Arabidopsis thaliana: one gene and its partner. The protein of the gene in region 2 interacts with the protein of the main gene of each other region in a pairwise test. Each region holds a gene or a part of one and is shown on either strand. Other genes may lie near its edges.

The links.
Region 1: the proteins of AT1G30790 (region 2) and SK16 interact in a two-hybrid assay, tested with the Arabidopsis thaliana proteins (one study listed by BioGRID).

What each region holds. Positions count from the first base shown.
Region 1 is NC_003071.7:962,214-965,562, reverse strand, and holds SK16 (SKP1-like 16), read right to left. Parts: upstream 1,350-3,349; 5' UTR 1,332-1,349; coding exon 819-1,331; 3' UTR 662-818; downstream 1-661. Other genes in the region: AT2G03180 (uncharacterized protein), read right to left, coding at 2,437-2,799. UniProt on the Arabidopsis thaliana protein: Involved in ubiquitination and subsequent proteasomal degradation of target proteins. Together with CUL1, RBX1 and a F-box protein, it forms a SCF E3 ubiquitin ligase complex. The functional specificity of this complex depends on the type of F-box protein.
Region 2 is NC_003070.9:10,930,838-10,934,598, reverse strand, and holds AT1G30790 (F-box and associated interaction domains-containing protein), read right to left. Parts: upstream 1,887-3,761; coding exon 687-1,886; 3' UTR 533-686; downstream 1-532.

The DNA of each region.
Region 1 (3,349 bases), on a different chromosome or scaffold from region 2:
GGTCGATATCTCGGAACATGAAAAGGATTAGACTAAAATGTGATTGCTTGAATTAGCTTTTAGCCTTTGACAATTGACACTCACGGGATGTTTAGTATATTATGGGCTTTAAAGGGCCCGTAATAATTTATATATTCTTGCTAAATCGACCCATTGTGAAGCCTCTCTTAAAACTAATTTATAAATGTAGATAATGAAAATTATAGTTCAATGCATGCATACATAGCCACATATCCCATATGGATTATTATTATTTTATTTTATTTTAATTTTGGGTGCAAATCCCATATGTATTAATTTACATTAAATGTAATTAAATGCTTTCATACTTTTCACAAATAACTTTCTATGATAGAAAAATACCATTACATTATTTAGAAAATATGAAATGATTTAATTTATTACATTTAATGTAAAATAATACATATGCGATATGTGTAGGTATGCATTGAATTATCATTTCATTATGAATTTTCACTACGTGGCTAAAAGAAATCGTAAATGTTTAATTTTTTAACAGAGAGAAGCCCTAGGGCACATGTATTTTGATAAATTTCCAGTGCCCAAGTCTTCATCAAACGGTGGCGATGTACGCTATATTTTATACTGTTCCGCTGGCGAAAGAATTCAGAATCGCCAGAGGCTTTTTGGTTGGAAAGAATTAATTAACATTGGCATATATAAGTAAATATTGTTAAACATTATAACATGATGAAATACAAAAGGAAACCACAAACCATGAATTCAAAGAAACGAATGCAATCAACAAAGATTAAAGAACATCGAGATCAACACTTAGAAAACGGAACTTTATGGTTTTACTTTAGATCCTCAAAAGCCCAAGCGTTTTCCTTACGAATCGCGTCTTCTTCTTCAGGTGTGTAATCATTCTCAATGTTAAAGAGTTCTCGAACTTCCTCTGGCGACATATCTTTCATGTGATCTGCAACGGTCTGGCAAGTGAGACCAAGAAGATCTTGGACGTTGAGATAATTAACAGCGAGAATGAGTTTCATGACTGTTTCCATATCAAATTCTTTCATGAACTCTGCGTCCCAAGTCCTGAGCTCGTTCTTGGCTTCCTCGTTTACATTTTCGCTTGTTGCTTCAGTAGAATCATCACTATCATCAACATCATCAAGTACGTGTTTCTTGCAATACTCGATAACCAAAGCGAGGATATTTCCGGTGACGTTTTCAAGCGGGATTGCTTTATCGGCGCAGTCGTCATCGATCATGTGTGCTATGACCTTCAATTTACGAGCCACCGCTTCCTCAACCTCGAACGATTCATCATCCGAGCTAGTCAACACAATCTTGTTCGAAGACATTGTTTGTTTTGTTGTTTTGTTGATTTTTGAGAGATTTTATGGAAGAAATGAAATGAGAGAAATTGTTGAATAAAATTGATGAAGCTATGAAATAATGTCTCTCTTTTTATAATGAGTTGAGAGTGGGTCAAATCTTTAATTTAGGAAATATAGTAAGGAAAAATAAATATAACAAAATCCTACTATATAATTAATTGTTAGGCTCTTATATTTTCTTTTAATATTTGACCCATACATATACTACACACATGCTAATAAAATTATATTGATTAGATTTTATATAAGTTATACTAATATTGTAATTTAATATTTTAAAAATATTAACCATTATAGATAGGATTTCACCTAAAAGCAAAATTTAATTTTTGGTATCTCTTATCAACTCAATGTAAATATTAAATATAGTATAATATAGTGAGATTTTTTTATTTATAAGTTTTAGAAATAATTAATTTGATGACATGTACTTTGTTCTAAGATACTTACTTTTTCAACATTTAGCATTTTAGCAACAATTTTTTTTTTGTCAATAACTTTATTAGATTAATTTAAACAATCTAATTCTGAGGAATATTGTTTATATAAGTAATTAAATGTGGTTTAGATGTTTTGACTTTTTTATTATGGCAGTTATGTAGTGGCAGACTCATAACTTAATTTTACCGGGGTACTCCAAAACAGAAACGAGTTACCAGGAGCACTATGATGTCCAGGGCCGGCCCTGAGCTAAAGCTGGTGAAGCATGGGCTTTAGGCGCCAAACGGTATTAATGATTTAGAGGGCATCAATTTCCAAAAAGTTTTTCTGGCACAGTGGTTATGTTGCCTTTCAATTAGACGAGTTCGATATAGTCTACAGTTTTTGTGTATTTTTTTTTCTATTACTTGTTAATGGGCTAATTTTTTTTTTTGCTTTAGGCATCAAAGACAAGAACAAGTTCTCTAGAACTAAGCCATACGCTCCTTCTCTACGGAAATTAATTCATGAAACCAAAAGCTTGAAGAAATTCAGCATTATGAGCCCGTCTTTACGGAACGATGATTACCGAAGTTTTCTCAATCCTTTAAATCCATTTCCTCTGAATTCTGAGCTCATGTATATGACATTACACAACATCTGCGATTGGTGGTTTTTCTAGGATTATAAAGCAATCTTTAGTAATTCTTAAGGTGAGCAACTCTTTAGGCTCGACAAGCTCTTGATCAATTTGCAAACCTTTCAAAGTTTGAAGAATAACGGCATTTTGACTGCATCTCCAAGGAGAAGTAGTTACCGAATCTTCGACAATCTCTCTTATCCGGCAGCTTCTTCCGTGGAACGTTTTCTTAAAAGCTTGTATGCGTTGTTCGCTCGAGCCATCTATAACCACATGGTGGTCGAGGAATTTGTGAAGTCTGTCTTTATGGGCGAACCCAATTTTTGCTTCAACAGATTTTTTAATCTTTGCAAACTCTTTAAAGATGAGCATCTTTTTGAAAAACTCATGGAGCCATTATCTCTCCTCCTTTTGTGTTTTTTTCAGTTTCTATTTGTATGAACATCCCTCTTTTAGGTTTTAAGTAAATTAAAGTTGTTTGACAAAACAAAAAAGAAAGCCCATACGCTCCTATCTCTCTGCCTCTCTCTCTTTTTCTCTCGCTTTATGATGTTTTCTACGTAATAAGTGTTGATATGGGCCTTGGGACGCTTCATATGAGATTGGATAAGTTTTCAACAAAATTTACGACCAAAAAGATTGCATGGCAAAATTCAACTGAATAGTATTAATTTGCATATTAACATCCTCTCGCATGAATTTTCTTTCAGTATATCGTCCGTATATTTTAATATCATAAAATAATAAATCGCTCTAAGAAAATCTTAACCTCTCAATTATCAACCCGAAAAGAAAAAAAAGAATATTAAAACGAAGTATTTTATTCCCATCCTAGATTTGGGAAGGAAAAGGAAAAAAATAAATAATAATAATATAAACTAAATTATTTTGTACGTATAACTATATATAAATATTAAATAGG
Region 2 (3,761 bases):
AGATAGATACGTAACAACCGTTTACGAATCCATAACGGCTCCTAAATTCTTCATTATTTCCAATTCCTAGGAGCCTAACTCTTCTGATGTCTTCGCGTGACAGAGTTTTTGGGGCAAAAATGATTTCACCAGCCTTGTTGGTGCCCGGGGAAGTCACATTTGTACCCAAACGCAAAGAGAAGGGAAGCTCAAATGTTTGCTTGGACCAATCATGTGTCTTCACATCCTCTAGCATCCACAAATCAAAACTTTGAAAACCAGCATAAGGGTGTCTTACAATGAAAGCTACCTTCCCTTTGTATTCTATCTAAATTGATTCATCTTCCCAGCAAATAACATCCTTAGGCGCTTTGAGGTGCAAGGTTATATTAAAAGGACAATCACTCAGCTGTGTCCATACGTTGGGGAAAAATGTTTTGGTTGCAAATAAAAATGTAAAAAATTTCCAATCAATTTAACGATTAAAAGAAAGAATCAGAGCAAAGAGAAGAGAAAACATTTCATAAATTTTGAGCAAGGATTCTACATCCAACTTAAATATGAATCACTGGTGTTTTAGACAACACATCATTTCTTTTGTTCAAGATCCCATAGTATCAAACCAATTTGTTTGGTACCTAGAAATCAACACATACATGTGAGTAAACAAAAGAAGCAAACATGACATATCCTTGAATAAAGAAACATTACAGAAACCTTATAGTTTCAACATGTTCCGGTGAGATAAAGACGTTACATTGACCACTTCCAATTCCATAGCACCGCCTAAAATTTTCATCATCTGCAATTCCTTCAAGCCTAACTCTTCTAATCTTCTTTGTTTCTACATGGTAATAGAAAATGTAGAAGGATCGAAGATGATAGCCTGACAAGCATGTTGGTGCTAGAATGATCTCACCAAACTTGTTAATACCTGGAAAAGACATGTTAAAGTTCTCAACAGAATCCCACACAGAGAGAGGAATCTCACATGTTTGCTTTGACCATTCTTGTTTCTCGATATCTTCTAACACCCACAAATCAAAAGTATCGAAACGAGAATAACGGTTTCTTACAATGGAAGCTAACTTCCCTTTATATTCCATCAAAATTGAATCATTGCACCATCTTACGACATCCTTAGGTGTTTTGATAAAAGTTATCTTCTCGGATCTAACATCAAAACAAACGATCACTGCATTCATACTTTGTCTTGGAGTCCAAGCACCATAATACACAACCCCGTTGATGCATACTCTCATAGTCACAGGGGAATAAGGTGGAATGTTGTTGTTTCCTTGGATTTGCCTCCATGAGTAATTTTTCTTGTCGCCTTTTAGAGTCAACACCAAGTGCTCTACAGTACTATCTTTATTAGGTATGCAAGAAGAAATAAGAGCCAAAGCTTTGAATTGATCATCCACCGGATCATACCCTATACATGTGCTTCTCATATCTGGAGCACGACCTGAGGGTAAGATTGGTAAGACAATGACTTGTCTAGTGCTAGGGTTACATATCGTGAATCTTGTGTAAAGTGAACAGGCTATAAAACCATTGACGGAAATACACCGTGACGCAAGGTTATTAGAAACAGTTAGAGAAGGTATTGTCGTATCGAGATTGGTTATCACTGAAGAAGAAGATTCATGTCCCTCGTGTGAGGACGAGAAGATGAACAAACGCTTCTCCTTATCACTGGGAAATGAACCGTTGCTGAAAGCGACTATAAACCGTGGTCGTGTTGAGGAAATGGAGTAGAAGGAATCGATGAAGCTTTGGTTATGGATAATGGACGACCATAACTTGGAAACGCATTTGAACTTCATAAGAGATTTGGCTGGTAATCTGGTGAGAATCTCCACCGTTAGATCAAAGGGGATATGATCTATCTCCTGACGTTTCATGATGACGGCTGACCTAAATTCTTTGAAAAGTAGTAGGGGTGAACCCTTATATTCGTCTCGTTTATTTTAACCAATTAAAATTTGGCACTTAAAAATAATAATAAAAATTTAATTTAATTATAAAATCTAATTTACTACTAAAACGAAATTATGGTTTATTAGAAAACGAGGTTAAATATCGGTTTGGGTTTAGAAAGTACGATTAGAGTTTAAATTTTATAATTAAACGGATTAAATATTGGTTTAGGTTTATAAACATATTTAGATTTTGTAATTAAATGAGGTTAAATGTCGGTTTGGGTTTACAAGATATGATTAGAGTTTAGTTTTTTTTTACGATTAAATGAGTTTAAATGGCGGTTTGAATTTACAAAGGAGAATTAGGGTTTAGATTTTGTAATTAAACGAGATTATATATCGGTTTGGATTTATAATTATAGCTTTAATTTATTATGTAATTAAGTAGGATTTGACATGACATGTTTTTATTGGTTAATGCAAAAGGAGGTGAATATAAGGGCTCACCCCTAGAGGTGAACCCAAATTTTCGTTCAAATTCTTTTACTTGTTTTGTTTTGTAATTGTAAAAGATGAGATCAGAGAGATAAAGACACAAACATAAGTACGTGCTCTGTTTGACTTAAAAGAAATCTTCGCTCAAAAAGCTTTACTTGGTCGAAGCTCAAATCGGGTGGAAAGCTCAAATCGGGTGGGAAGCCCATATAGTCATATTTGTGTCTTTTTATCTTCTCACATCAGTGTTGCAAATTTACTCGGTATAAGGTTGCAGAACTCAAATCCATGGACTTAGGATCAAGGATATACCTATGAAAACTTGTAAAAGCCTTTTCATTTATAGGAGAGACCTATTACAGTAAAATCTCTATAAATTAATATTCAATAAATTAATAATCTTTATAAATTAATAAAAAAAATTGGTACAAAATTGGAACTAATGTAAAAAAATGATAAATCAATAAATACTATGTAAACATTAAGGTCTCATTAATATCATAAAATAATAATTATATATACATATATATATATATATCAACTATAAATGTGTTATATGTGAGAAACTTTAATAAAATATAATTTTAGTATTTTTCTTTTGTTTAAATTTGTATTCGTTCTTGCTTGAATTTAAAACTAATATGTATACCATATCAAAAAAATTGTTGTTATTTTCTAGACATGATAATTGTTTTTGAACTTGTAATTGGTTCTAATAATATATTGTCTTAGATTTTAACCCGCGGTACACCGCGAGAATAATTTATTTTTTAAAGTTAGTATACATAAAAGTTTGCAAATTATATCTATCTATAAAATATTTTTATTTTATAGTTTACAATTATTATTAAGTAACGTCCCGCCAACCCGCTCCGTAAAAAAACCATTTATATTATTAATGTTGATCTTATTTATGATATGTTTATGAATTATTGTCTAAATATTTTGTAATTTTGTAGTAATTAAATGCTATCAAATATCTCTGCGGTTTGATGATTATAATCGAATTATTATAGTCATGGAGAAAAGCAATATCAAAAATGATAATTTTGTAGTAATTAAATGATATTAAATATTTTGAAAGTTTTATTTTAGTAATTAATCGTGTAGTTAATGTGGAGAGATTTAGGGAAGATTGTTAAATGTCAAATATTTAATTCGAAGATTTTTTTTCTAATTATCAAAAACAAACATTAAAATCTAGTGGCAGTCGTCTGAGAAAAGCTATAAGAAAATGAGAAAAAAAAACCGTGAACTCTCCCAAGCACGAAAATCGAAGACATCCTCATGAATCTATTTTCCGACGCTGGTGGAGCTTTTGCTCGCCGGCGTCGGGATGTACCTAAGCTCCTCCAATTCTCT